7 linked regions of the Oryctolagus cuniculus genome follow. The protein of the gene in region 1 interacts with the protein of each later gene in a biochemical or structural test. Links are inferred from orthologs where the notes say so. Each region holds a gene or a part of one and is shown in the gene's direction. Other genes may lie near its edges. The genes, in order: ubiquitin-conjugating enzyme E2 D3, UBR5, RNF4, OTUB1, PCNA, PJA2 and TRIM32.

Region 1 (3,972 bases):
AAACAGAACAGGGAACTTCTCATGGAATTATTTCAGGATGTTAACATGGAAGACTCTTAACTGCAATCAAACAGATATGACTGTTATAAATTCATTTCCACCACTTTTACATAGAGTAACCCTGACAAATTGATTCCTTAGACTCTTTGAACCTCACCTTCCTCTTCTGCAATATGAAGATGATGGTAGTGTACATGCTGTATGACTGTTGTGAGGATTAAATCAAACACCCTATGTTAAATGCCACAGTGCCAAGCCCACAATATGGATTCAGTAAGTACCAGCTATTATTGTAATCCCTGTTAGAAGGGTGATGATACGTCATAGGACTTCAAAATATCTTACAGCAAGCTGGTTCTTTCTGGCTTATAATCAAGCAATTTCACCACCTATGCAGGAGATGATTTGTAGTTGGTGCATGTAAGAATTGAAATGAAAATAAATCTAAACAAAATGTGCTATTAGAGCTCATTCATCTGTCTTTTAGAATTTTCGTTGCTTCAGGGAAAACTAAATGGAAGAGGATGGCTAAGGAATCCTCCTTTGTTACTTGTATGAGTTAATGCATCTAACAGGAGGCTGGTTCTTAGTGCCAACATCTTGGTAATGCTTTGATAACCCCTCATGTGCTGAAAAAGTCAGGATGTTTGGTCCTGGTGGAGAGACTGGCAATGACTGAATCGAGCTCCTCAATATTGTTAATTTGGCAGCTAATATTGGCAAGTCTCTCAGTTTTATAGAACTAATTTTCTTCCACTGTAAATGGGCACTCATTATTTATGTCTGGTCAAGGATTCTGAGTGTTCTAAGATCTCTATATTTCAGGCCCTAATTCCTGAATAAGCTGAAAGACTGATTGGTGCATACAAAATGCCTTTGTCAAATCTTGTTTATCTCTGCGGGTCACATTAGATGTTGTGACTATTTCTCATGCTGGTATAGCTTGATCCAGTTTCTGGCTCATTACATTTGTTTCCTTACGCCAATAATTTTTCTCTCACAGCTGAAATGCTCTATTTGCTTCCACCTCACACCATTCTTGGCCAAATTTTCAGGGAATGAATAAGGTTGTGATATAGATCTCAAGTCTGCCACAGGCACCCAACTTCCAGGCAGGAAAGGAAAACAATGAATGTAGAAGAAAGAAATATGACTGCAGCAAGAGAAGGTAGAAACTGAATTTATCCATCTTCCTTTGCTTTCTCACAATGGAGCCCTTTGTGAAGTTAACTGCTGTTAAAAACAAATTGTCATGAAAAGAGACTCAGAAGGTAGGAAGACAAAGATCAATTAGAAAGCATACCGATTCAGTAGTATGATAAGCTAAATATTTGGAGAAATTTACTCAATATAAAATTCCTATCAAACTAAAACTCCACAGCATTTTTAACCAATATTCAAGAGTGAAGATGAAATTAAGATATTTTCGAGCCGTCCACGTCGTTCTCGCGATACCCGCCGCCTCCATACCAAGCGCCTGTGTCTGGCAGAGCCGGCGTGAGACCAAGAGACAATCCTTCCCCGCCGCCCGGATAATCAAGAGTTTTGGCCGGACCTCTGAGCATACACCGAGAGAGGGAGAGAGGAGCCAGACTAAAAGCACAGACTATGGCGCTGAAACGGATTAATAAGGAACTTAGTGATTTGGCCCGTGACCCTCCAGCACAATGTTCTGCAGGTCCAGTTGGGGATGATATGTTTCACTGGCAAGCCACAATTATGGGACCTAATGACAGCCCATATCAAGGCGGTGTATTCTTTTTGACAATTCATTTTCCTACAGACTACCCCTTCAAACCACCTAAGGTTGCATTTACAACAAGAATTTATCATCCAAATATTAACAGTAATGGCAGCATTTGTCTCGATATTCTAAGATCACAGTGGTCTCCTGCTTTAACTATTTCTAAAGTTCTTTTATCCATTTGTTCACTGCTATGTGATCCAAACCCAGATGACCCCCTAGTGCCAGAGATTGCACGGATCTATAAAACAGACAGAGATAAGTACAACAGAATATCTCGGGAATGGACTCAGAAGTATGCCATGTGATGCTACCTTAAAGTCAGAATAACCTGCATTATAGCTGGAATAAACTTTAAATTACTGTTCCTTTTTTGATTTTCTTATCCGGCTGCTCCCCTATCAGACCTCATCTTTTTTAATTTTATTTTTTGTTTACCTCCCTCCATTCATTCACATGCTCATCTGAGAAGACTTAAGTTCTTCCAGCTTTGGACAATAACTGCTTTTAGAAACTGTAAAGTAGTTACAAGAGAACAGTTGCCCAAGATTCAGAATTTTTTAAAAAAATGGAGCATGTGTATTATGTGGCCAATGTCTTCACTCTAACTTGGTTATGAGACTAAAACCATTCCTCACTGCTCTAACATGCTGAAGAAATCATCTGAGAGGGAGGGAGATGGATGCTCAGTTGTCACATCAAAGGAAGCAGCATTATTCTAGCAGCATCCATTCTTGTTTAAGCCTTCCACTGTTAGAGATTTGAGGTTACATGATATACTTTATGCTCATAACTGATGTGGCTGGAGAATTGGTATTGAATTTATAGCATCAGCAGAACAGAAAATGTGATGTATTTTATGCATGTCAATAAAGGAATGACCTGTTCTTGTTCTACAGAGAATGGAAATTGAAAGTCAAACACCCTTTGTATTCCAAAATAGGGTCTCAAACATTTTGTAATTTTCATTTAAATTGTTAGGAGGCTTGGAGCTATTAGTTAATCTATCTTCCAATACACTGTTTAATATAGCACTGAATAAATGATGCAAGTTGTCAATGGATGAGTGATCAACTAATAGCTCTGCTAGTAATTGATTTATTTTTCTTCAATAAAGTTGCATAAACCAATGAGTTAGCTGCCTGGATTAATCAGTATAGGAAACAATCTTTTGTAAATGCAAAGCTGTTTTTTGTATATACTGTTGGGATTTGCTTCATTGTTTGACATCAAATGATGATGTAAAGTTCAAAAGAATGAATATTTTGCCATGTTCAGTTAGAGTGCACAGTCTGTTACAGGTTGACACATTGCTTGACCTGATTTATGCAGAATTAATAAGCTATTCAGATAGTGTAGCTTTAATATGCTGCACCGTGATACTGGCAGCCCTGGAGTTCATAGATGGACTTGGGACCCAGCAGTTTTGAAGCGTGTATATGGAGTTTTAAGAAATTTATTTTCCAGGTGTAGCCCCATCTAACTAAAACTTATCTTCACCTTGTACACTTGACAGCTGATAAAAACATAACTTGGGAGTAATAATGGGTCAAAATTTACAAAATAAAGTACTGTTTTGGTGTGGGAGTTGTCATGAGGCTGTGTTGAAGTGACTTAACTATGTGGGATATTGAGTATCCATTGAAATGGATTTGTTCAGCCATTTACATTAATGAGCATTTAAAACAGATCATTTCAGGTGACTTAACATGAATGAATAAAATGCTATTGAAAAAAAAAAAAAGAAATTAAGATATTTTCAGACAAAGAGAAAATTTACCAACCACAGATACTCACTGGAAGAATAACTGAAAAAAATCTACTTCAGGTAGAAGATTAAAAGTATTATTAAACTCAATGGTTAAGTCCCCACTTCAGACACCTGTGTTCATATCAGAGTGTCTGGTTTGGAGTTACAGCTCCACTTTCAATTCCAGAAACCTGTTAATGCACACCTTAGGAAGCACTGGTGATGGCTCAAGGAGTTGGTCCCAGACTGAGTTCAAGGCTCTTGACTTTGGCCTCACCCAACGCTGAATGCTGTGGGCATCTGGAACGTGAACCAGCAGATAGAATATCTCTCCTGGTCTGACTGATATTCCCACTCTCTTTCTCTCTCTCAAATGAGTAAAAATAAATAAACTTAAGTGTATTTTTAGCCCAGGGATAGAATAACAAATCTATTCATACATGGTAAGTTGATATAAAACACTAATAGTGTTGCAATA
Region 2 (3,660 bases), on another chromosome or scaffold:
GTCACATAACGACGAGCACTCAGATGTTCTTCCAGTTCTGGATGTTTGCTCATTAAAGCATGTGGCCTATGTCTTCCAAGCCCTTATCTATTGGATTAAAGCAATGAACCAGCAGACAACATTGGATACACCTCAGCTGGAACGCAAAAGGTGGCTATACTTGTGATTTCTTTTTTTTTTAGATCGAGATCAGGATCAAGCCAGGAGCTCCTCTGGGTCTCCCACGTGGGTGCAGGGGCTGAAGCACTTGGTCCAACCTTTGCTACTTTCCCAGGCACGTTAGCAGGGAGCTGGATCGGAAGTGAAGCAGCCAGGATATTTTTTTGGTGCCCATATGGGATGTTGTTGTCACGTGCAGTAACCTTGCCTGCTACACCACAATACCAGCCCCTACCGTGTTGATTTAAGACATCCTTGATGGGTGTGTCTCCATTATTATATTGTCAGCTTTTGGAATAAGGAGAACAGCATTGCAAAGAAAGTAGTGCAGGAACATTTTCATGTGGGAAAGTTAGTCTGAGTATATTCTGCCTTTTTCTGTCAGTTATAGTAGTCCATGTAGAACGGAAAGCCTAAGAGTTGGTTAAACTTCATGTTCGAGGTAGTTTGGCCTGATTATCATGTTTCTATTATAGTGAATGTAGGCACTCACTATTTCTTGGATGATTTTTGGTTTTTGCTTCTGTTGACTCCATTTTGTATTGTACCACATGAGTACCATTCCCAGAGTCTGCAACTCTTTGGTAACAATCTTTTAAATTGGTAAGATACTTACTTAGATGACCATTTCTGTGGGTTTTTTGTGTTTGTTTTTGTTTTGTTTTGTTTTGTTTTTGCTGGTAATTCTCCTTACCTTTCCTCCTATTCATATTACACAAATTCTCCATGTAAAATGACTCATTTGTCTTTTAAAGGACACGAGAGCTCTTGGAACTGGGTATTGATAATGAAGATTCAGAACATGAAAATGATGATGACACCAATCAAAGTTAGTGCACGAAAATCTGCTAATCTACTTCAAGAAATGGCTGCCTCAGTATTTCCCCTCCAAGCTTTTTAACTTCATTGTTTTCTGTCTGGGTGGGAATTTCTCTTTTCTTCTCTATATCCCATTTCTTACCTTTTCTATCCATTTTCCTTATATATTCTTACATTATATATTTCATAACTAAAGATGAATTAAATGTTGCAAACTTTTCAACAGTTGATGTTTTTTGCTACTTCATTTTTTTTTAAATGAGAGGAATTCCTCTTTTTATTTTATTTATTTGAGAGAGTTAGAGAGGTAGAGACAGTGAGAGAGAGAGAGGTATTCCAACCACTGACTCCCTCTGCAAATGACTGCAACTGTTGGAGCTGAGCTGATCTGAAACCAGGAGCCAGGAGCTTATTCCGGGTCTCCCACGTTGGTGTAGGGGCCCAAGGACTTGAGCCATCTTCCACTGCTTTCTCACGCTCGTTAGCAGGGAGCTAGCTCAGAACTGGAGCAGCTGGGATGCAAACCAGTGCCCATACGGATGCCAGTACTGCAGGCTGGGGCTTTTACTCTCTGTGCCACAGCACTGGCCCTGCTACTTCATCTTTTGTGTTTCTGTTAGTTTTATGTTTACCTTTACTCATAAGTAAAGTATGTAGGAACCAAATTTAAATAAAGTCTTAGAGAAGCCTTTATTAATATTGATGCACAATAGAGTTCTTTAAGAAGTTGAGAAATACCGGTTATAACTCCCAAATATTCAAAGCTGTTAATGTGATGAGAGGAGAGAAAATATTCCACACTCCAGATTTTTCTTCCGAAGTTTTAATACCATGAGATTTTGTAATCCCCTGTAGGTACTCCTAGTTCTCAGCTATTACGTCAGTTGGGGTGTAAAGGTCTTTAAAACATGTGGGACTTTTAGTCAGCCTTGGGGAAGAACTGCCCTAACCGCTCTTGGTTGAGAACTCAGCCATTTAGTTCACTGCTGGTCTGCCTGCACGCTAACTCCTGCCCAAAATCCTTGCATTCAGGAGAGTTGGTGGGAGCTTGCTTGCTTACTGGTGGGGTCTGATTTGCCCAGAAAGTTCTGTTTGTTTTCTGTGGTGAGCCAGTGCTCAGATGGTAGTTCCTGGCCATCTCCTGCTTTTGGCATGAGCAGTGAGGACCCTCGCTCTCGTTTGAGTCTATAGAGATGAAGAAGAGGATATGGGAAACCTGTCTGATAAAGCATGGAATATATGTTACTGCTTTTTTGTTTGTTTTACATTTTTTAAGCATTGCAAGATGCATATAACATACATTTTACATGTAAAATTTATCATTACAACATTAAGTTGCTATATTTTGAATTAATACTTGAAAAATATTGTCCGAATGTATACTATTAGCTTGTTTTGGGGTGGTATTAAAATTTTAGAAAGAAGAAAGGAATATTTGGGTTGAATAGATTCCTTTATGCTTCCGTAATAATTAACTTTTTCAAACATTTTATCTCTCTTTCTTTGTTTAGGTGCTACTTTGAATGATAAGGATGATGACTCTCTTCCTGCAGAAACTGGTCAAAACCATCCATTTTTCCGACGTTCTGACTCTATGACGTTCCTTGGGTGTATACCCCCAAATCCCTTTGAAGTGCCTCTAGCTGAAGCCATTCCCTTGGCTGATCAGCCACATCTGTTGCAGGTGGATCGAATGAACAAACTAGTTTTAAAGTTTTTTCTAATTGACTGTATTTTCTTTTAAATACTGAATGTAGTGAGAATGTTTCTGTTAAAATTCCAGCCAAATGCAAGAAAGGAGGATCTTTTTGGCCGTCCGAGTCAGGGTCTTTATTCTTCATCTGCCAATAGTGGGAAATGCTTAATGGAAGTTACAGTAGACAGAAACTGCCTTGAGGTAAGATAGTAAAAGTCTTTGCAGTATAACATTTTTGTTGTTAATTTTTTTTTAAGTTTTCATTTATTTGAGAGTTAGAGTTGCAGAGAGAAGGGGAGAAAGAGAAAGGTCTTCATCTGCTGGTTCACTTCCCAAATGGCTGCAAGTGCCAGAGCTGGGCCGATCCAAAGCCAGGAGCCAGGAGCTTCTTCCAGGTCTCCCTCACAGGTGCAGGGATCTGAGCACTTGGGCCATCTTCCACTGCTTTCCCAGGTCATAAGCAGAGAGCTGGTTTGGAAGTAGAGCATCCGGGACACAAAGCAGTGCCCCTGTGGAATGCCTGCACCATAGGCCAAGGCTTAGTTTACCATGCCACCGTGTTGACCCCATCACTATAACATTTTTAAATGCACAGTTTTCCCAGCATCTAGATTTTCAGATATACATTACTTTGGAATATTACACTAAAATAATGGAAATGTCAGAAATTTTTGCCTTGTGAAAGAAAGGAATTCCAGCACTGTTATTGATTTGCTTTGTCAGGTATTTAATCCATAAAATAGGTTTCCCAGCTTTTTCTGTATTGGTGTATGCTAAAAATTTAAGTTTTTGTATACATAAAAACATCATAAATATTTGAGCTATTGAATCTTGGCTTAAAACTTTGCTCTAACTTGCTAAAGTAATTTGAATCAAGAATGTAGATTGATAAAATAGTATTAATAATAACTAACAATTATTGATGTTAATTCTATCTCCTGGGCACTGTCTGAATCTTTTCAAGCATTCTGAGCAGAAAGTAATAT
Region 3 (4,129 bases), on another chromosome or scaffold:
CAGCGTGACAGCTAGTCAGAAGGCAGGGATGATAATTCTGTGTAGCCTTGACAAAATGCCTGTGGGTACTGACCTAACCTCCCACCTGCCTGTCCACCCCTCATAGTAGTTCCTGGAAAGAAAATCCCTCAAGGCCAGACCTAGGGTCCAGATGCTATCTGCAGGGGAGATAAGTGCCCACTGCCTCAACTCAGAGCGAAGTTTAGGAAGGAAGAGCCGGGGCTGGGACTCAGGGGTCCAGCCAGCCTCAGCATCACAGGCCCGGCTCCAGCGCAGGGCCTGGAGCTCCGCGGGGCTCACACCTGCCAGGGCGGTGTGGGGATCACAGGTGAGGGCAGGCTGAGACCCGGGGGCTCAGATGCCCGCAGGAGGCATCCAGGGCTCCGCCCGCGCCCGGGGCTGGGAGGACACCTTTCTCCAGGCCGGTCCTGGGGTGCCTTCCCTGCGGGCCCTCGCCCACCCCTCCTGCCCACCCGGCCCCTGACACCCTGACTCCCCTCCCCAGGCTGCGGGACACCCAGCTCCCTGCTTCCTGCCCAACTCTCTGCTTCTTCCGCCCGGTACTCCGGCTCTTGGCCCCAAGCTCGCTTCCTCTGGACAGCCCTCCCAGACAAGCCGGTTTAGGGCCCCTCTGGGCTCGCCAGTGGGGACTGGGCCCGGTCCTCGCGGGGACGGTGACCGCCCCGCCCCGTCCAGGGCCTGGTACCAGGCGGCGCTGATCCAGGCCCGGCTTCCAGCTCGTGCCCCGGGAATATTCCTCTCCAAGGTCTCGTTAACAGGCAAGGAAACAGGCCCGGGGAGCTGGGCGCAACGTCTGGTCTGGACCAACGTCCAGCTTGACGTCGCCGGCCGGCCTCGTAAGTTAGCGCCATGGTGGCTGCTGTGCGGGGTGGCAGCGCAGGACCGGGACCGTTCGGAGCCCCCTCGGCTCCGGAGAGCGGGTCACCGGGGGTCGGCGGGCAGCTGCCGCGGGCCAAGCGCTCGGACCACCCTCAGACTACAACTCCCGACAGGCCTTGCAGGCGGCGCGGCGCGGACAAGCTCTCTCGCGGGAATGCGGGGGCTGAGGCGCGCGAGCGTGGGCGGGGCCGGAAGCGACGCGGTTCAAAGTGGTAATGGACGTCTTCCTTATCCAATAGAATTGGAAACAGGGCTCCTTCCCCGGCAGCCGCGGGCGAAGGGGAGGCGGCGGCCACTGGGGACGCGCGGGGGGCGGGGCCTGGGCCTCGGGAGCGGAAGTGGACTGCTGTGGAGGCGGCGGCGCCTGGCTCGGGGGCTTCTCCTCAGCGGCTTAGAGGTGCTTCCTCGCTCCAGGACAGTGGCGGCGGTGCCTCCCGGACCGGAGCAGCTCCGAGTAAGGCCCGCTCCTCGGGGAGGGAGCGGCGGCCGGGCCCAGCAGACGCCGCGTTCGCGCGGCCTGTCCAGGCCTCGGCGTCCGCGCCTCCGGCGGCCGCCCAGCGCGGCGCGACCCGCTGCGGGCCCCGTGGCCGGCCGGGCCTGCCGGGACTTCGGGCCGCCTCTGCCCACCCGCCCCGCCGCCTGCGCCGGCGTCCCGAGCCTCGCTGGGCGCGGGAGAGGAGGTCTAGGGGGCTCCCCCGGCGCGGCCGCACGACCGGGCTCGGAACTCCGAGAGGGAAACTGAGGCTCGGGCCGGGGCGCCCAAGGTCACGGGAGAGGCGCCCGGGCCTGCCGGCGGCGGGGAGGCAGTGAAGGCTCGTGTCCTCCTTTGTGCTGGCGCCGCCGCCCGCCGTCGGGGGCCCGCGAGCTCGCCGGAACGCCTGGCCGCGTGGCGGGCGCGCTGCTCGGCTCGGCTGGGCGCGGGGCCTGGAACCGGGGAGCCCGCGCTTCCGGGTGCAGCGTGTGGCCGCCGCCCCGGAGGCCCGTGTAGGAGCCCGCGGCGGACCCCCGGGCGCCCACCAGCGTCCACCTCGGGCGGGGAGGGCCGAGCCTGGGCGAGCCGCGCCTGCGGGATGCAGCTTTTGTCTTCCTGCGGCGCCCGCGGACGCTCGGGGTCTCGGCCTGCGCAGCCGTGCCGGGGTCCTGGGGGGTGAGGCGGGCGGCCCGCGGTCGCACGGTGGAGCCGAGTTCTAGCTGCGGGACCCGGAGTGCGGGCCGTGTGGCCGTGGGAGGCGGCGGCGTTGAAGGGGATTTTTTTGCTCTGGGTCGGTTTTGCTTGTGAGTTTGGGGTCGTTGTGTTGCTTGAACTTGACCTTCCAGTCCTGACCCGGAACCTCACTAATGACGCTTAAGAGGGTCCCGACTGCTCGCCGCCATGACGTTAGGGCCGCGTATATGGGCATACTGTGTGTCTGGTTTTTATTCTGTGAACATCTGTAGAGAAAGGGAGAGACAGATCTTCATCTGTTGGTTCACTCCCCAAATGGCCGCCGTAACCAGGGCTGGGCTGGGTGGAAGCCAGGAGCTTTATCTGAGTCTCCCAAGGCGGCCCAGGGCCCAAGCACTGGGGCCATCTGCTTCCCGGGCGCATTAGCAGGGCTTGGGATTGGAAGTGCAGCAGCTGGGATTCCAGTGGCTTCCATTTGGGAGGCTGAAACTGCTACACCAGAGTGCTGGCTCCTATGGTATGTCCTTTGTGTACTGTACATATATCTGTTCTTTTTTTTTTTTAAAGATTTATTTATTCACTTGGTAGAATTACAGAGAGAGAGGAGAGGTAGAGAGATAGAGGTCTTCCATCTGCTGGTTCACTCCCCAGATGGCTACAACGGCCGGAGCTGCACTGTTCCAAAGCCAGGAGCCAGGAGCTTCTTCCGGGTCTCCCACACGGGTGCAGGGCCCAAGCACTTGGGCCATCCTCTACTGCTTTCCCAGGCCACAGCAGAGAGCTGCATGGGGAGTAGAGCAGCCAGGACTCAAACCGGTGGCCGTATGGGATGCCTGCACTGCAGGCTGCGGCTTTACCTGCTACGCTACAGCGCTGGCCCCCATGTATCTGTTCTTAATACATAAAATAAGTAGGATTTTTCACCCTCTTTCAGAAGACACACTTTAATATTCTGAGCACAGTTTTGAAGCAAACAGTAGTGGATTACAACAGTGAACAAAATAGGAATGTGGTGCCTCTCCTGGAGCTAAGGGCTGAGAGACCCAGAAAGTCCCTGACACTGAAGTACAGACTGTGCAGGAAGTGTGGCAAGAGATGGGACAGACTGGAGACACACGCAGGATCCCGAGAGATGGGACAGACTGGAGACACACGCAGGATCCAGAGAGATGAGACAGACTGGAGACACACGCAGGATCCAGAGAGATGAGACAGACTGGAGACACACGCAGGATCCAGAGAGATGAGACAGACTGGAGGCACACGCAGGATCCAGAGAGATGAGACAGACTGGAGACACACGCAGGATCCAGAGAGATGGCACAGACTGGAGACACACGCAGGATCCAGAGAGATGGCACAGACTGGAGACACACGCAGGATCCAGAGAGATGAGACAGACTGGAGACACATGCAGGATCCAGAGAGATGAGACAGACTGGAGGCACACGCAGGATCCAGAGAGATGGCACAGACTGGAGACACACGCAGGATCCAGAGAGATGGCACAGACTGGAGGCACACGCAGGATCCAGAGAGATGAGACAGACTGGAGACACGTGCAGGATCCAGAGAGATGGGACAGACTGGAGACACACGCAGGATCCAGAGAGATGGCACAGACTGGAGGCACACGCAGGATCCAGAGAGATGAGACAGACTGGAGACACATGCAGGATCCAGAGAGATGAGACAGACTGGAGGCACACGCAGGATCCAGAGAGATGGCACAGACTGGAGACACACGCAGGATCCAGAGAGATGGCACAGACTGGAGGCACACGCAGGATCCAGAGAGATGAGACAGACTGGAGACACGTGCAGGATCCAGAGAGATGGGACAGACTGGAGACACACGCAGGATCCAGAGAGATGGCACAGACTGGAGACACACGCAGGATCCAGAGAGATGGCACAGACTGGAGGCACACGCAGGATCCAGAGAGATGAGACAGACTGGAGACACACGCAGGATCCAGAGAGATGGCACAGACTGGAGACACACGCAGGAACCAGAGAGATGGGACAGACTGGAGACACACGCAGGATCCAGAGAGATGGCAC
Region 4 (4,440 bases), on another chromosome or scaffold:
CGCGACCTTAAGGAATAACAGATTCTGTGTGGTCTCCCCCACTGCCAGGACCCCCACACCGGTACAGTCGAGGTGTGGCTCATCTCGGCCCTCAGAGTCACGTGCCTCCAGCCCCTCTCCTAACCCCCCAGCCACTCTCGATTGTCCTATTAAGCCCTCGCGTGTAACGACCGCTTTCCCACAGCCGGGACACCAAGGGGGACGCCGTCCCTGGGGGCAGCAGGTCGCCAAAGCCACGGTGGGGACGGCGGTGCGGCCGGCTCCCGGTGCCCTCGCCAGCGCTCGGCACTGCAGCTGCAGCCGCCTGCAAGGGGTGCCGGCGCCCGCAGCTGGAGGAGCCTGCAGTGATTGTAGCTGAACTCGTCCTACGGGTCTCCATCACGCAGCCCGCAGTTCCAGCCCCAGAGAAAGCTGAGTCGGCTGCAGGAGGCTCGCGGCCACGCCGCGGAACTCGGGGGCTGGGAGAGCCGAGCACGCGGAGGCGCGGCTACGGGCGGCCGGCTCCCGAGGGGCCCCGCACCTGCGCCGCCGCGGCCACCGCCCGCGGGGACCCCGTTGCTAGGGCCGTTGCCAAGGAGGGGCCGCCAGGCGGGACTCGCTTCCGGGAGGAGGGCGGCTGTAACCCGGAAGCGCTCGGCGGTGCGGCGCTGTTTAAAGATGGCGGCGGAGGAACCTCAGCAGCAGAAGCAGGAGCCGCTGGGCAGCGACTCCGAAGGTGCGGACCGCGGGAGGGGTGTCCGGCCCGGGCCCGCGGCGGCAAGGCCGGGCCGGCTGTTCTCGGGGAAGGCGGCGGAGGCGGGGCGGCCGGGGCGGCCGCGACGCGCGGACGGCCGCTGCCTCCGCGCCTCCCTGCCCCCTCACAATGGAAGGCGCTCCCTCCGCGACCCCCGGCCGGGCGGGGCGGGCAGTCTCGCGGCCTGGCCGCCGGCGCGCGCCCGGGGCGGGGCCTGGGCCGCCCCGCCCTCCGCGCCGGGCTCCCGGGCCGGGGCCCCCGTCGGGCCGGCCGAGGCCTAGGCCCGGACCGCGGCGCCGGCGTTCGCTCACGGCCGAGAGGCGTCGAGCAGCGTGGAGGGCCGGCTCGGCCGGGTGCGGTGTTGTGGGCGGCGCTGGCCCCGGAGGGGCCGTGGGCGTCCGCCCCTTCGGACTTCGGCCGTTTCCGGTAGAGCCCCCTCTTCTGGCCTGGCCGCCTCTCTCCGCCCGCCCATTGTTTTCTTAGACCCCTGAGGACGTGGGTGCCTTGGAAGTGGCCCCACCCGCCTCCTTTTCCGTCCGGGCGCTGGGCCCCGGGGACCGAGCTGGGCATTGGGGGTGGGGGGTGGGGGTGGCGGCGGATGCAGAGCCGCGCAGGGCACGGGCCGGGGCCCAGCTGCGTTAACCCTGCAAGAAGTCGCTCAGCGCTCACCGGCACGGAGAACCGGCAAGCCCAGGCCCCAGCAGTGACTTGTTCAGGGTCACAGAATTTAAGAGCGAGCCAGGATCCGAATCCAGGTTTCGCGAGCCCTGCGCATGGGACTTCTGCAGAGAGGGGGCCCTGCTCCTAGAGCACGCCAAGGTACCCCCCCCCCCGATGCAGCACTTGGGGCGCCCGGGGCTCGGCGGCGAGGTGGCGGAGCAGAGCGGGGCTCGCTGGGCATTGGACACACGTGGGCGTGACCGCAGGTCTCTACTTGCCAGGATGACTTCACCCCTCTGCCTTTGTTTTGCTCTTTGGAAAATGGGCACCATCAGGGGTACCGTGGGAGGATGCGGAAGTGCAGGCCCCCAGGAAGCTCTGCCCGCAGCCCCCTGCTTTCCCCCCAGGAGACCTCGCCCTGCCCCCGAGCATTCCTGGGCAGGCCAGTGCTGATGGACAGCAGGGAGGAAGGCAGTGCCAGCTGGGACAGTGGACCCTGGGCCGGTGCCGGGCGGGACAGCGGACCCTGGGCCGGTGCTGGGCTGGGACAGTGGACCCTGGGCCGGTGCCGGGCGGGACAGTGGACCCTGGGCCGGTGCTGGGCTGGGACAGTGGACCCTGGGCCGGTGCCGGGCGGGACAGTGGACCCTGGGCCGGTGCCGGGCGGGACAGTGGACCCTGGGCCGGTGCCGGGCGGGACAGCGGACCCTGGGCCGGTGCCGGGCTGGGACAGCGGACCCTGGGCCGGTGCCGGGCTGGGACAGCGGACCCTGGGCCGGTGCCGGGCTGGGACAGCGGACCCTGGGCAGGTGCCGGGCTGGGACAGCGGACCCTGGGCCGGTGCTGGGCTGGGACAGCGGACCCTGGGCCGGTGCCGGGCGGGACAGCGGACCCTGGGCTGGTCGCCTCTTCCTCTCTTCCTCTCATTTTAAAGATGAGGAAGGATTTCTCCCAGTTGGGCACAGCTCGGGAGGAGAAGGGCGTGGGACGCCTGCCCCTGCCGCCAGCTGCGCATCCCTGGCCCAGCTGTCCGCAGCGGAGGGGCCAGGACGCCCAGTCATCCCCGGCTCCTCGGCCTCTTCCAGGTGTTAACTGTCTGGCCTACGATGAAGCCATCATGGCCCAGCAGGACCGGATTCAGCAAGAGGTGAGGGGCGTTCAGCGGGGGGGGCAGAGGCCGGTGACCCGGTCTTGGGCGAGGGCCGGCCGGTCTGAGTTGTCTCTCCCTCGGAGCGCCCTCCTCCTCGGGCTGGGCGGCACTGCACGGTGCTCTGTCCCGCGTTACTGGGTACCCAGCCCAGCCCTCTGCCCCTGCTCCAGCGTCCTGGCTGTGTTGCCCCCCGCAGATCGCAGTGCACAACCCCCTGGTGTCCGAACGGCTGGAACTCTCGGTCTTGTACAAGGAGTACGCGGAGGACGACAACATCTACCAACAGAAGATCAAGGTGGGCACCGGCCGCAGGGCCAGGACTGGGGCTTGCCGGGCCTGTGCCCTGGGGGGGGCGGTTCTGGAGGTGTGCCGGCTCTGGCCCAGAGACCTTGAGCCAGATGCAGGTCCCGCCCCTCAGCAGCGGTGTCCTGGGCAGGTCCTGAGGCCTGTGTGCGGCCAGGTGTGTGCTGGGCGGGGCCTCCCCACGGCTGAGGCTGCCCCTCAGCCCGCCTCCTGGATCTGCTGAGGTGGGTGGCTGTGGGTGTCACCAGCCAGGGCCAGCCCCTCCCCTCCCGCGTTCTGAGAGCAGAGCGTGACGGGTGTGGAGGTGTAGTGAACGTCTCCCCACAGTGAACCGGGGATGCTTGGAGCCTTCACCCGAGGAGAGGCCTGTGGGCGCAGGTGGCCTGGCCACGTGGACAGCGGGGCCCCCCTCCCGTCGTGGGCAGTGGCAGCCTTGCAGCGAGAGCGAGTGTCCGCCCCTCCTCTGCCCTGGGGCAGCTCCAGTTTGCCAAGGGGAGCCAGAAATAGTGAGGTCCCCCTGCGGCGGTGGGCAGCTGAGTAAGAGTCCACGTGTGGTCTGTGGTGGACACGTGGCCGTCCCTGGGGGGCCTGCGGGGAGGGGAGCCACGCTGCGGCAGCAGACCCCTGCGGCTTCCTGCTGCTGTCGGTCTCTGGGAGGAGGGGCCTTCTCCCTCGAGGGGCAGCTGCGGGCTGAGGGTGGTGCTGGCCAGCGCCCCGCAGCGCCAGTCCCGTGCGGAGGGGCGTGTCCCCGGGCCGCATCTCCAGGCTGCCTGTCCCACTGTCTCCCGTAGAAATCAACGGGGTGGGCTCCAGGTCACTCGGCATGTACTTGAGTGTCATAGGAAGTGATTGGGTGTTTAGGGCGGGTATTTGAGTGTCGTGGGAAGTGATTGGGTATTTAGGGTGCTCAGAGGCTCTGCTGGTATTGGATGTGGGTGAGGCCCAGATGGACACCGGGAAGCCTGGGTGGGGCGAGGCTGCGCGGTCACACCCCGGCCCTGTAGGCCAAGATGCCCGGGCTCTGAGGCAAGGGGGAGGTAGCTGGACGTGAGACTCAGCTGGAGTGGAGGGCGGACATCGCGTGGGTTTACATTTGGGGCTGTTGAACTTGGGCTCGATGCTGTCGTGAGCGTGAGCGTAGCTTGTTGCTGGAAGCCGCGTGGGGCACCTGCTGCACCATGCGTGGCCTGCGTTCCCTGGCAGGCGCCCGTGTGGGTATGTGAGGTGACCCAGGAATACTGAGGAAAGGTGCAGTGTGGTTTGGTGGTGGCCTTGACCTTCGGAGGGTGGAGGGGTGAGGAGGGTCTGCCTGGAGTTCAGGGGCGACAAGGACCCGTGGGGTCATTAAGGACCCGGACCTGGTGACCCCGGGGGCAGTGCTGCCCGGGGTTTGTGACCTTGGCTGGAGCAGGTGCCTCCTGTGTGGGAGAGCACGGGGACCGTGCACCTGGCCGCTTTCCAAAATTCTGCCGTAGAGAGGGAGAGGACTCGGGCTTCCGGCCTTCTGAAGTGAGGGCTGCCTGTGTGTCCCTGCGCAACCGGGACTGGCCGTGTGTCCCTGCGCAACCGGGACTGGCCGTATGTCCCTGCGCCG
Region 5 (4,276 bases), on another chromosome or scaffold:
TTCCATCCGCTGATTTACTCCGCAAATGGCCACAAGCAGCTGGAGCTTGGTCAATCCAGCGCCTGGCCAATACACAGCCAGGAGCCAGGAGCTTCTTCCAGGTCTTCCATGTGTGTGTGTGGGCCCAGGAATTTGGGGCCATCTTCCACTGCTTTCCTAGGCCATAGCAGAAAGCTGGATCGGAAGTGGAGCAGCCGGGTCGCCCATATGGGATGCCAGCACTGCATGGAGCGGCTTTACTCACTATGCTACAGTATTGACCCCTAAAATAAAATCTTCTATCTGGGGCCAGAGCTGTGGCAAAGGGGGTAAAGCTGTGGCCTAAAGTGCCAGCATCCCATATGGGCGCCAGTTTGAGTCCTGGCTGCTCCACTTCTGATACAGTTCTCTGCTGTGGCATGAGAAGGTAGTAAAAGATGATCCAAGTCCTTGGGCCCCTGCACTGGCATGGGAGACCCAGAAGCTCCTGGCTCCTGGCTTTGGATTGGCGCAGCTCCAGCCGTTGTGGCCATCTGGGGAATGAATCAGTGGATGGAAGACCTCTCTCTCAGCCTCTGCCTCTATAACTCTGCCTTTCAAATAAATAACTCTTAAACACACACACACACACACACACACATCGTCAAGAAATACAAGCATTTGAAAGATACCGATCTGTAACACTAAACTTTTCACACAACTGAGCACGGATTTAAAAATGAGACTTTCAGTATCTGTAGTCAAGAAAACATAGGAGATGAGCACGCTTACACACACGATCTTTAGAAGCCAACTAGTAATTTATCTGAATGAGTATACTCTTCATTCATCACTGCTACTTCAGGGAGTTGAACTCACAAAAGCACCCAAATGCCCAAAGGTGTTCTTAATAACAGGAATTGGTCATTAGGTCGCATACATGGGACGTTACGGAACCTTTATTAAGTAAATACCGAAAAGATGTTCGTGACATACTCTGTTGGAACGTGAACGTATTTCTTTTTAAATATCTTTTTATAGAAGAAAGTGTAGAAAACTGTAGACAGCAAACAGTTGAGAGATTATATGATCTTGGTATGTGTGTGCTGGGAGCCAGTGATTCTCCCCTCAAAGCGAGAGGCTTAGAAACCAACACAGCGCACCAAGCTCGACGGTCACCCGGTGCTTCGTCGCCCAGACATGTCTGGCGTCCGCCCCAGGAACTAAGAAAAACGCGGGGCGGCTGGCAGTGCGTCACCCTGTCGGCCTCCGAAGGCGCGCTGTGCGCCTGCCCCGCCCCCGCTTCAGCAGCCTCCAATGACTGCCTTTCGGGGGCGGGCTTTGCGCGGAGCAGGAACACGATTGGTCCTCAGGATCCCTTCCGCCCAGCCGGTGGGCGGGGAAGCGTCGTGACGCCTTAACACGGGGCGCAGGGGCGGAGAGCGCGCGCTTACAGACGCGGCGGCATTAAACGGTAGCCGGCGCTGCGAACCAGTCGTCGTCTTTCGGGGGGTCTTGGGTACACGCCGCTGTATTCGTCCGCTCGTCCTGAGCCTCGCGAAGAAGTTTCAGCCAGAACTTTCTCCTTTACTCGCCTGCAGCCGCGACACTGCGACCCCGCCACCATGTTTGAGGCACGCCTGGTCCAGGGCTCCATCCTGAAGAAGGTGCTGGAGGCACTCAAGGATCTCATCAACGAGGCCTGCTGGGACATCAGCTCGGGCGGCGTGAACCTGCAAAGCATGGACTCGTCCCACGTCTCCCTGGTGCAGCTCACCCTGCGCTCCGAGGGCTTCGACACGTACCGCTGCGACCGCAACCTGGCCATGGGCGTGAACCTCACCAGGTAAGCCCGGGGCTCTGGCCCACCGCCATCCCCGGCTCTTGGCGGGAGCGCCTTCGAGGCGGGCCCTCATTGGCTGGGGTGGGCCACCGGCGCCTTCTCATTGGCCTGCCACGGCGGGAGGCGGGACCCTGGGGAGCGCGCGGTTCCGAAAAGCCCGCGCTGGCCGCCGCGCGAACCGGCTCTTTTCCGCGCCAACGTCACAAAAGCGAGTGGTGGCGGGAAAACGCCTGTCGCGGAGCGCTCTGCAGCCCGGAATGGGGAAACCTGTGGTCGTGTTGACTCGCACTGCGTTGTTACGTGCTCTCGTGGCAACGTGTGGCTCTGTGTCACCCTTCTTGGGCCACATGATGTTTCTGGGTCTTTATTACACGGTCGCACTGAGCATCCTAAACTGGATTTGTCCTGGGGACATTTCCCCGGGGCATTGGCTTTCAGCTTCCTGACTGCTCCCTGTCTGGTCCGTGTATACGGTTAAGTTTTAAAAGGCTCGAGAGAAATAACTCCTAGTGCGTGGGGCGTGTTTCAGGTTTGTTAGCTCACTTAATAACGGTCGTCGTGGCCCACTAATTTACTAAACCCACTGGAGGGATTTACAGTGCACAAAATACTGCTGTTTATGTGTTACACCCAGAGCTGAAATTGCTGGTGTGTTCCGGTGTTAAGTATTAGTAGGACCGGGTTGCCTTCCTGAATGGTGCTGGACCCCTGAACCCAGCCTCCAGCCAGTTTCCCCTCACCTGTCTATCACACAGCCTGAGGGGTGGGCATGGTAGCTCCTGATTGCGCTCGGAATCTAGATTTAGAGCAGATGGTGTTGATTGCAAACCGTATCTTGTGTGTTGTAGCATGTCCAAAATACTAAAATGTGCCGGCAACGAAGACATCATTACACTGAGGGCTGAAGATAATGCGGACACCTTGGCGCTAGTATTTGAAGCACCAAGTAAGTCATAACCTTGTACTGAGTTATGCTATAGGGAACTAAAATCTCTCTTGATTCTCAGCTGTGAGAATTTTAAATTTTTTGTGATGGTCGTAAAAATTTACATCATGATTATAAAACATTTTTCTTAACATTTGCTTTCTTTTCGTAGATCAAGAGAAAGTTTCAGACTATGAAATGAAATTAATGGACTTAGATGTTGAACAGCTTGGAATTCCAGTGAGTATCAGCTTCTGATTGCACATAGTCATCAGTTACTTAAGATGTGTTAATATAACCTAATGCCTACTGCCTATATATCTAGATTTTCTTTTTTTTTTTTCAAAGCAAGATTTGTATATTTGTATGACAGTTGTCATTTTACTAAACTGTAGCAGCCTAAAACTGACTGTGGGGTGAATTCATTTTTTGCTGTGGAGTGCTTACTTGCATTAGCCTCTGTGCGTCTTTTTTTTAATTAAGGGTGGGCTTATCACCATTAAATGAGAACAGCTGTTGGGAATGTTTAAAATGTAAAATGCATAATGTGTTTTCACTTTTAAGTCTGCCCCATCACTACTGTTCGAAACCCTAATATCCTCTTGATTTGGCTCTGGAGGATCATTAAGAGGTTCTTGTATGATTATTATGCCATACTACTTTTAGTTGGAGTGTGAGTCATATACTAACCAGTTTTTAATTAAAGATTTGAGAAGCAAAGTGGCAAACAGATGAAAAGAGATCTTCCATTCACTAGTTCACTCCCTAAATGGCTGCAATACCTAGGCCTGGCCCAGGCCAAAACCAGGAACCTGGCATTCCCTCTAGGTCTCCCACAAGGGTAAAAGAGGCCCAAACACTTGGGTCATCGTTTGCTGCTTTCCCAGGTACATTATTAGCAGGAAGCTGCATCAGAAGCAGGGCAGCTTGTATTTGAACTGGCATTACAGTGTGGGCTGCCTGTGTCTGCAAATGAGTTTAACCTGCTGTGCCACAATACTGGTCTCTAGTAATGTTTTAAAGAAATCAGAAAAACCTGAGATCTGAGTTTAGACGTTTGCTTAAGAGTGAGGATGTCAGATTTCCAGCAGTTAATGTTAAGTTTGTTTTATAGGAACAAGAGTACAGCTGTGTAGTAAAAATGCCTTCTGGTGAATTTGCACGTATATGCCGAGACCTCAGCCATATTGGAGATGCCGTTGTAATATCCTGTGCAAAAGATGGGGTGAAGTTTTCCGCCAGTGGAGAACTGGGAAATGGAAACATTAAGTTGTCACAAACGAGCAATGTTGATAAAGAAGAGGAAGCTGTAAGTAGTAAAGTTAGATTTAGCATTTCTCAAATATTTTGGAGAATTGTAATGTCCAACAAATTAGGTTAATTATGAAAGGTAAAAATAAAAATGCATTCCAGGTTACTTGTGAAAATTGAAAATATTGCTACTATTTGAAATCTGCAAGTGATCCCATTAAGGGATCTTCAAAATTTTATGGAAAATGTGTATTATGAAAACTACATGGATTAAAAACTGCACCAAAACTTATCTTTTA
Region 6 (4,346 bases), on another chromosome or scaffold:
CGTTGTTTTCCTACAGCCCCTCTCACACACACAGAAGCTAATTTCTGACTTCCCACCTATCACTGTGAGCCTCAGCTGCTGCGCTTCTCATCCAGTTCCCTGCTAACGCTCCTGGGAAGGAGGCGGTGGATGGAGCTCCTGGCTCCTGGCTTCCCTCTGACCCAGACCTGGCTGTGAAGGGCGTTTGCAGAGTAAACCAAGCAAATGGAAGCTCACTCTCTCTTCCCCCTCTCTCTGTAGCTCAGCCTTTCACATAAATAAAACAAGCAAACTTTTCTTTAAAAATACATTTATTTAAAGAAAATAATAAATAAAAGTGGAAATCTCAGAAACCCCGCCCACCCAAGGAAACTAGTGTTTTCAAGCAATCCAAGATCCCACCGGGAAATTAGGAAATACAATGACAACATGAATTCTTTCTCAAGTTGTGAAGGAGCTGGGTAGAAAAAGACTCCAAGCTCACAGAGCAGCACGTGCGAAGGCAGAGTTAAGTACCAAGTGGGGAACGGGTTCTTGCAAAGATACTCACAGGTACTCCAACGGCTGCGCTGGGAATCAGACTTGCTGCCACAAAACACGCAGCAAGTTCCCACAAAACCAACTTTCTACAGTAAATTACGGATGATTTGTTTCCATCAACAAACTAGCGTCAGGTCCCTAACAGGGGCTGTCACAGGGCTGGAGGCGCGGGGCGTAGGGAAGCGATCGACCCATCCCGAGCGCCGCGGCCAGGGGCAGGGGGAGCGGACGCGCAGGTGCGTTTCAGGGCGGCGACGCGTGGCCGAGTGCGGGACGAAGCGGCGCTCGGCATCGCGGGCGTAGCCAGTTACCCAGGTCTAAGCGAAGCCAGGCGTCCGGGGACTACCGCGGGCACTGCGGCCACGGCTTAGCAGGGACCAGGCGGGTCTCCCCCAGCAGGGGCAGGGCCTGAACTTCCGCCAGGTTCCCAGTCGAATCAGGACCGACCCGACGGCTCCATCTTGGCGGCCGCTCCCGGAATTCGTGATAAAGTCCTCACTGCGCCAGCCCTGCCCTCCACACCCCCCTGAGCTTTCCCGGAGACCCGCCCTCTCCCAGCCCGCACCACAAAAGGCTGTGCCGCTTCAGCACCGCCCCCTGCCCAAACGTCGCAGTGCTGCGGGGCAAGGAGGCGGAGTCGGGCGCCGTCTTCCCGCTCCTCGACCAATCGGCGAGGGCCCCCCCCCCACGAAAAACAAGACGCTGAAGACAGTGCGAGTATTTTTCCCTTTTTCTGCCACGTCCCAACCATTGACGCGAGCCCACTCCTCAGGCTCCCATTGGGCGTGCGCGTTCAGCCCCCGGCAGAGGCTCCTGATTCCTATTGGCCGGCTAGAGCTCGGGGGCGGGGTCCGCGCGCCGTGCTCCGCCTCCTCCTCCTCCCCACCGTGTCCGCCGCCGCGCAAGGGGCGGGACGCGCCGCCGCCACCTCTGCTTCCGCCGCCGCCGCTACCGCCGCCGCGCCGCCGCCGCCGCCGCCGCCGCCGTGCCGCCGCCGCAGCCGCCTGCTGCTGCGCGTTCGGCGGGGGAGGAGTCGGAGGCGGAGAAGAAGGCGGTGGTGGCGGGTGGAGGATCGAGCGCTGTTCTCGCTCCGGAGCCGCTGCACATTTCGGTGAGGGGCTTTTTTTTTTTTCTCCTCTCCTCTTTTTTTTTTTTTTTTTTTTTTTCTTTTTAAAATCGGGCTTGTTCGGATGTCAGCAGTGTGGGGGTCGGGGCGAGGAAATGGCTGCCTTCATCTGCCGTTCTTGCCTCTCTGGAGCAGGAGCGGGGCCTGTCCCCGGCCCGCAGCGCCGGCCATGGTGGGTGGGGTTGATGGCTGGGAAGAGGCCTTCCTCGCCTCCTGGGCCCTGTCCGCGCCGGGCCGGGGGCCCCGCGGACGCCGCGTCCCCGACGGATGGCAGCCCTCGGCGTGGTGGTGGTGGTGGTGGTGGTGGTGGTGGTGGGGTCTCCGCCGGCCGCTCTTCCTCGGGCCTCGTCTGCTGTCCTTGGTGCCCCGGCCAAGGACCCCGCCGCCCTTGTCCCCACGCTCGCGGCCGGGCGAGTGCGCCGCCCGCCAACGCCTCCCACCCGCCTGCGGTGCCCACCGGGCGAGCCGGGCCCCTGACGCCGCAGGCCTGCGGCCCCCTCCCCCCGAAACCTGCCGTGGCCGTTGCCGGCCGGCTGCGTGTGCGTGCTTCCCGACGGTCACGGAGGCCCCGGGCGCAGACACGCCGTGGGCAGCGTAGCCGTCGGGGTCCCCCGGTCCCGGGAGCCCCTTGCCTGGGCGCCGCTGCCCGGGAGCGCGCCTCCGGCGGGCCGCCGCACCGCCGGTGCTGGCCTCCCCGGGACGACTGCTAGTTAATCATTTTGCGCACTTCCAAAATGGTGAGTTTAAAGCCGCTCAGACCCAGTCGAAGAGAGGGGGAGGCGGTCCGATAGTGTTTTTGCAGGGTGCAAGAATAATCGGGGAGGTTTCCCTGGCTTAGACGTAACAGAAAAATTACATCTGCATAGGCACTGCTCTGAGTCCGCTGGTTCTGCGAAGTTGACGTTTTTCTTAAAAAAAAAAAAAAAAAAAGGTTCACTCCATTCTGTTATTTTTATCATGAAATGTTTGGTCCCGCTTCTTTAAAATGGCAGTCACCTTTGCTAAAGGCTGCAGATCAGCTGAAGAGTATGTAAATAAAAGCTAAGATAACAGAAATAAAGGTCTCAACTTTTTTTCGACTTTTGTCGTTTGTCTGGAATTGGTTTTCAATTGTGAAATAACCACTTCATTTCTGTTGTTAATTACAGATGTGCAAGCTTGGTGTACAGTCTGAGATGTAAATAAAGGACTCTTAGGTGAAATGTGAAAAATTCTTCTCCTCCCCCAGTCTCACTCCAGTAACTGGACTTAACAGTTTACTGTTAATCTTTCAAAATTTCTTTTACAAATGCACTTTGAAACACGTGGACATCAGACATGCACAGTGCGTTGGCCTTTTTTCTTGAAGTGGGAGTATATCCAGCACTTTTGTCCATCAGTCGTTTTTTTCACCTGATTGTACATCTTGGCCGAGAGTTTCCTGGTCGTGTGTGGCTCTCTCCTAAAGGCTTGGAGAGGAAGTGGTAGTTCATCAGCCAATGGGCTGTTACTCAAGCAGCCAGCTTCTTATTGGAAGACGTTTAAGTTAATTGCAGTTTCCTTTTTCAGTCACAAATAATGGCTTATAATGAAGTCCACTTTCTGATTTATTGCTTGATGTTTAATGACCTCCCTTAGAGCCTTGATTTACAAATTTTCAAGTGTGGAGGCCTGGAAGGTAAGAAGCACACCTCCCACTTCTTGTCCTACCTGGCATCCTAAGAGTAGTCCCTGAGAACAAGTCAGCAAACTTCCTGTGTGAGCTGATTTCTGGAGCATGGATTCCTAGGAACGGAATTACTTAATTAAAGGGTGGGCATATTTAAATTTTTGATAACCATTTATCTGTCATCTTTTGAAAATATTTTCTGCTTAAGCTTTTTCTCCTACTAGACAAACTTCAGACTCAAGTAAAAAGTATCCTGGGCTATATTGTATGATGTTGTATTGAACTTTTAGATTAATTTAGAGAGAGCTGACCTTTACAGTATGAGTCTGTCCCCTTGGAAGAGGTGTTCTCTCCATTTTATCCACGTGTTCCTTCATATTCTTAGGGAATACAAAATTTTATAGTTTATCTTTTGCCTTACATATGACATTCTGAATATTCCTAAATGTTTTGTAGTTTTGATTGTTGTGGTAGATGGTTCAATAACATTTTTCTTCTGGTTATAGGAAAGTATTTGAATTCCTAAGTTTATCATGTAGCTAATCATTTTATTGGGTTGATGATGATTTGAAAATCTTTACTGTTTCGTGGTTTCCTTTCCAGTGTTGATAACCTAATGAATTTCCCTCATTGCTTTATCAATCATAGCTACTATCTAATGTTAATAATAGCACTAGTAGTGAAGCATTGGGTGTTCCTGACTTGAAGGGGAATGCTTCTGTTTCAGCTTTTATTAGGGTGTTTGCTGAAGCTTTCTGATCAGTAGCCAGTATTAAAAAATTTCCTTCTATTCTTGGCTTTCCAACATGACTCTACTGTTTTCATTTTATTAATGTTTTTGATAACCATAAATAGGTATTGAGTTTTCTTGGATATTTTTGACAATTTTTGTGGGGAGTCACCACAAAAAAATACTGGTGTCACCAGTATTATCTGGTTAATATTTTTCTAAGAGAGGTTAAATTAACCTTGAGGCTACCTTCAATACAATAAAATATACTTATTTGGAAGTAGAGCTCATTTTGTTTGGATAAATGTGTGCTCATGTCACTA
Region 7 (4,143 bases), on another chromosome or scaffold:
AGAAAAAGGTGGATTCTCAGGGGCCAGTATTGTGGTGCAGTGAGCTAAGCCACTGCTTGGTCCGCTAGCATCCTACATCAGAGCACCTATTTTGAGTCCTTGCTGCTCTGCCTCTGATCCAGTTCCCTGCCAGTGTGCCTGGAAAGGCAGAGGAGGTGGCTCAAGTACTCAGGTCGCTGACGCCCACATAGGAGACCCTCATAGAGGTCTAGGCTTCTGCCTTTGGTTGTTACCATGTAGCAAGTGACCCAGCAGATGGGAGATCTTTCTGTCCCTCCATCACTCTTGTCTTTCTAGTAAATAATTAAAAAAAAAAAAGTGGTTTCTGAATTGTATTCAAATCTGGGCTCTGAAACTTAGGAACAAGTGGCTTTGCTATTGAATCACCTAGGCATCAACTGCCTATCTCAGAAAATCCTTATAAGTATTAAAGGAGCCAGGTATGTCAGATGCAGGCAGACAAGAAGTGCTCCAAGATGTTTTGGTACCATTTTTGTTTGCTGTTTTATCATTGTTCAGGGTAACACAGCTAAGTGGAATTTCAAATGCAATCCTATCCTACTTCACACTCCTTTGTGCTCCTAAACTACCCAGTACAGTCGTGACCTCAGGGACTATAGGTCACTCCAGTAGAGGGGACCACAGACCACCTGGTAAGTCTCCCCACCCCGCAAAAGCTAGACTCTGATTTGGGCTCCTAGGTAGCTTCAGTCTGCAGGGACAACCTGTGCTGTAGGCTGGAGAGGCAAAAGGTTTTACCGAGAATAATCTGATTAGGTAAAACTTCCTCCAGCAGCTGGTGCGGTGAGTCAGAGGTTTGCCCGGGGCGCTGCACTCTGAGGTGGGCAGGTTCTGTGCTTGCGCAGAATGCAAGTTTTAGTCTTTCTTTGTCCATTTTTCAGATGAGGCAACCGAGGTTCAGAAAGGCCTTTCTGAGGAGTGCAAAGGCTTTGCAGAGGACCACTCATGCAGGGCATGGTTTAGTGCAGAGGTTTAGACTTTGAGACTGGAATCAAACAAGTGAGTTCTGGCTTAGCTCCCAAATAGTTGAGTGAACTTGGGAAGGCGCCTTTCGCCCGTGGGCCTCAGCTTTCTAACCCATTCAAAGACACCAGAAAAGTATTTTGAGTTGCTAAGTGCCACCGTTTTTCGGTAAAGAGCTAGTCACGGAGGATATACCCAGCCCGGGCGCTCGCACTGGCTGGACCACAAATCCCAGCATGCCCCGGGGGAGGTGGGGGCGAAATGACGGACAGGTCGCTCTGCGAATTGCTGCCTCACAAGAGTAGCACGCGCCGCGCGTGCGCAGAAACCGGCGAGCGGTGGGCTGCCGGCGGCGGACGCGTCGGAGGCGCGGGCGGTCAGGTAGGGGGCGGGAAGGAGGGTAGGGGGAGGAAGGATCGTGGTCTGAGTCGCGGGCGGTGGCTGAGCGGCCGCGTTGGAGGCCCGCAGCCAACTGGCAGGGTGTGGGTACCGGATCTGAGGGCAAAACCTGGGTGGGGGTGGGGCTGTGAGGGGCAGTCTCGGGAGAAATTCGGTGGGGGTGAGGAGTTGCGAGGAGATGTAGCTAGCTGGGGGAGGGGAGCCAGGGGCTCTGAGAAGATTCGCAGTTGCAGCATCTCGGGAGATATGAGGTAATGTGGGACCCTTGAGGAGACAGGGGGTGCAACGTCTGATAAATGGGAGGGAATCTGAGGTGCTGGAGGGGTCTGGGTGTAGAATTGCAAAAACAGGAAGGACACAGGGCCCTGGTGAGATTTGAGGATCTCAGGAGATTTGAGGGAACCGGGCGGGGGCCAAGATCTAAGATTGGAAGGAGAAGGTGTAGGGCGAACCTAACTGCTAAAGAGAAAGGAATTTGCAGAGCGCTATCTGGGGGAAATGGAGGAGGTGAGTTCTTGGGGACAAGCAGTATCTTGTTAGCAAAAGGAAGGGGGCTAGGCTAAGGTTTGAAAGCAACACAAGAGACAAGATTTAGGTAAGAAAGAACGTAGCGGGGTTTGGGGACCGCACAGTGCCTGGTGGAATGCAGGAGATGAGATTCAGGTGAAACGATGACAGAAATCGGGGTGCAGGGCTGAAGGCTCCAGAGCTTTGGAAACACGGATTAAAGACTGTCAGGGGGATATGGGGCACAGGAAGGAAGAATCGGTGCGGGTTGCAATATAGAGCCCAAAAGGTTGCAATTCTGTATAGCAAGATGGTTGGGAACAGGGTTTTAAGAGGATTGAAAGGGGGGAGGGGTGAGAGGCGATGTCATGAATTAAAAGACTTTGAGTAGATTTGTGGGCTGGTGTTGGGCTACTGAAGGATTTTTTTTTTTTTTCCTAAACTCCCTGCACGGGAAGCAGAGGGTGTTCTGGGCACCTGAGCGTCCAAAAGAAATTATATAAATGTATGAAATTGAGGAACAGTCATGAGCCTTCGTAGGTCATGAAGGTGCTTTTACTTTTCTTGTGAGGGGCAGAATTTTCCTCAGTTATTAGCCAGAGTTCCCTGATGAGGCAGGCATGGTGCTGCCACTATCTCTACTTTGACTTGCTAACATTGGTAGGAAGAAGAGTGATCAAAGGGGTGATGAAGCAGAAAATGACAAGGTCATGTGCCTAAGCTTTCCTTTCCTTGTATCCCCAAGTTGTGAATGACAATATGAAAACTCCAGGGAAATGAGTGGAATTCATCCTGTGTAAGGTCCATTATAGCTTGAAGAGGCAGTGGCTTTGCAAAAGAACTGTTTGGAATGGGAGAGAAACAATAAAAGGAAAACTCTTTTATATTGAACTTTTGGTCCTTTGCTAGACTCTAAAGAAGTAGTCTTCATGAGGGGCAGTTTTGTCCCCAGGGGACATTTGGCAATGTCTGGAGACATCTTTGTCACAGCTGGGATGGTCAGTAGTGGGTAGACACTGGGGATGCTGTTAACATCTGATAATGCATGGGACAGCCCCCAACAGAATTATCCAGGCCAAAATGTTAATAGTGCTAAAACTGAGTGACTGTTCTGTAGTCAATATTCTGCGTTCAAATCCTGGCTGTATCTCTTAACTGTGTGGTCTTGAGTGAATACCTTAACCTCCCAGTGCCTTGGCTCTTGGTCTGTAAAATGAGTATAACAGGACCTATGTCATCATATATTGAAGATTCAGTGAAGGTATACATAGTGTGAAGTACATAGTAAGTGCTTAGAATTCAGTAGTTTTTGGTTTGTGTATACATTTCCTTAGTTTTAATAACAGTTTCCTGAATATAAGTTTTACATATGAAGGAACTAAGACTTAAGAAGTGGCTTACTTAAGGTTTTTTAGCTAGACTGGGTAAAAGTTAAACTAACATCCAGATCTCTGTAACTGTACATTTTCTCTTTGCTTCTTTCTTCCTTGTGTGGGCCTGCTTAGTCTTACTTACTTGGCCCATTCCCCACTACTAAAAAGGAAGATTGCCCAGTGAGTACACTGCATATCAAATTGAATTCTAAAGGTAGGGTGGTAACGGATGAGGCTAAACTATCTCTGATTAGGTATGGAGGATCCCTAATCTTTGTACTTGGTTTGCTTTTAGACCATGACCAGTGGGTAGATAGGGAGAGGAACTTGAAGGTAGCAGGATGGATGTACAGGGAACCAGAGTCTGAGGTATGGAGGCCACTGACTTGGACTTGACAAAAACACCTTCCAGCAGGTACTGAGGCTTAAGGCAGCCCTCCTGCAGGAAAATAATTACTGTTATGAGTGATCTCTTTTAAGTTTCTTTCCCCTGGTATAGCTTTAGGACTACCTACAGCATTGCTGAAGCCAGCTCAGAAACAAAGCTGGACTGGGTCCAGGGCAAGAGACATAACTAAAATACCCACATACAGTGCTTGGGAAAATGTATAGTGGGAATTCAGTCCATCTGGGAATCAGAGGCTAGAAGTCCAGACTCCTTACTCTGCTAATTTTCTGTGACTTTGGACAAGTACTTGTCTTGTCACTTTTTTTTTTTTTTTTTTTTTTTTTTTGACAGGCAGAGTTAGACAGTGAGAGAGAGAGACAGAGAGAAAGGTCTTCCTTCTGTTGGTTCACCCCCCAAATGACTGCTATGGCTGGCACGCTGTGCCGATCCGAAGCCAATAGCCAGGTGCTTCCTCCAGGTCTCCCATGCGGG

What was found.
Region 2: the proteins of ubiquitin-conjugating enzyme E2 D3 (region 1) and UBR5 form a complex in vitro, tested with the Homo sapiens proteins (4 studies listed by BioGRID). The link is inferred for Oryctolagus cuniculus from reciprocal best matches to the Homo sapiens genes UBE2D3 and UBR5.
Region 3: the proteins of ubiquitin-conjugating enzyme E2 D3 (region 1) and RNF4 form a complex in vitro, tested with the Homo sapiens proteins (6 studies listed by BioGRID). The link is inferred for Oryctolagus cuniculus from reciprocal best matches to the Homo sapiens genes UBE2D3 and RNF4.
Region 4: the proteins of ubiquitin-conjugating enzyme E2 D3 (region 1) and OTUB1 form a complex in vitro, tested with the Homo sapiens proteins (3 studies listed by BioGRID, with this or other methods). The link is inferred for Oryctolagus cuniculus from reciprocal best matches to the Homo sapiens genes UBE2D3 and OTUB1.
Region 5: of the proteins of ubiquitin-conjugating enzyme E2 D3 (region 1) and PCNA, one has a biochemical effect on the other in vitro, tested with the Homo sapiens proteins (3 studies listed by BioGRID). The link is inferred for Oryctolagus cuniculus from reciprocal best matches to the Homo sapiens genes UBE2D3 and PCNA.
Region 6: the proteins of ubiquitin-conjugating enzyme E2 D3 (region 1) and PJA2 form a complex in vitro, tested with the Homo sapiens proteins (2 studies listed by BioGRID). The link is inferred for Oryctolagus cuniculus from reciprocal best matches to the Homo sapiens genes UBE2D3 and PJA2.
Region 7: the proteins of ubiquitin-conjugating enzyme E2 D3 (region 1) and TRIM32 form a complex in vitro, tested with the Homo sapiens proteins (3 studies listed by BioGRID). The link is inferred for Oryctolagus cuniculus from reciprocal best matches to the Homo sapiens genes UBE2D3 and TRIM32.

What each region holds. Positions count from the first base shown.
Region 1 is NC_091438.1:28,033,004-28,036,975, reverse strand, and holds ubiquitin-conjugating enzyme E2 D3, read left to right. Parts: upstream 1-1,435; 5' UTR 1,436-1,608; coding exon 1,609-2,052; 3' UTR 2,053-3,338; downstream 3,339-3,972. UniProt on the Homo sapiens protein: Accepts ubiquitin from the E1 complex and catalyzes its covalent attachment to other proteins. In vitro catalyzes 'Lys-11'-, as well as 'Lys-48'-linked polyubiquitination.
Region 2 is NC_091437.1:127,607,083-127,610,742, reverse strand, and holds part of UBR5 (E3 ubiquitin-protein ligase UBR5), read left to right. Parts: coding exon 1-150; intron 151-914; coding exon 915-988; intron 989-2,489; coding exon 2,490-2,662; intron 2,663-2,761; coding exon 2,762-2,875; intron 2,876-3,660. UniProt on the Homo sapiens protein: E3 ubiquitin-protein ligase involved in different protein quality control pathways in the cytoplasm and nucleus. Mainly acts as a ubiquitin chain elongator that extends pre-ubiquitinated substrates.
Region 3 is NC_091433.1:1,253,964-1,258,092, forward strand, and holds the start of RNF4 (E3 ubiquitin-protein ligase RNF4), read left to right. Parts: upstream 1-1,194; 5' UTR 1,195-1,354; intron 1,355-4,129. UniProt on the Homo sapiens protein: E3 ubiquitin-protein ligase which binds polysumoylated chains covalently attached to proteins and mediates 'Lys-6'-, 'Lys-11'-, 'Lys-48'- and 'Lys-63'-linked polyubiquitination of those substrates and their subsequent targeting to the proteasome for degradation.
Region 4 is NC_091432.1:7,239,721-7,244,160, reverse strand, and holds the start of OTUB1 (ubiquitin thioesterase OTUB1), read left to right. Parts: upstream 1-1,602; 5' UTR 1,603-1,743; coding exon 1,744-1,897; intron 1,898-2,478; coding exon 2,479-2,540; intron 2,541-2,739; coding exon 2,740-2,838; intron 2,839-4,440. UniProt on the Homo sapiens protein: Hydrolase that can specifically remove 'Lys-48'-linked conjugated ubiquitin from proteins and plays an important regulatory role at the level of protein turnover by preventing degradation.
Region 5 is NC_091442.1:30,190,064-30,194,339, reverse strand, and holds the start of PCNA (proliferating cell nuclear antigen), read left to right. Parts: upstream 1-1,343; 5' UTR 1,344-1,583; coding exon 1,584-1,804; intron 1,805-2,649; coding exon 2,650-2,747; intron 2,748-2,898; coding exon 2,899-2,966; intron 2,967-3,840; coding exon 3,841-4,035; intron 4,036-4,276. UniProt on the Homo sapiens protein: Auxiliary protein of DNA polymerase delta and epsilon, is involved in the control of eukaryotic DNA replication by increasing the polymerase's processibility during elongation of the leading strand.
Region 6 is NC_091445.1:32,043,374-32,047,719, reverse strand, and holds the start of PJA2 (E3 ubiquitin-protein ligase Praja-2), read left to right. Parts: upstream 1-1,461; 5' UTR 1,462-1,630; intron 1,631-2,261; exon of another isoform or gene 2,262-2,382; intron 2,383-4,346.
Region 7 is NC_091432.1:220,201,133-220,205,275, forward strand, and holds the start of TRIM32 (E3 ubiquitin-protein ligase TRIM32), read left to right. Parts: upstream 1-1,285; 5' UTR 1,286-1,365; intron 1,366-1,504; exon of another isoform or gene 1,505-1,634; intron 1,635-1,781; exon of another isoform or gene 1,782-1,890; intron 1,891-4,143. UniProt on the Homo sapiens protein: E3 ubiquitin ligase that plays a role in various biological processes including neural stem cell differentiation, innate immunity, inflammatory resonse and autophagy.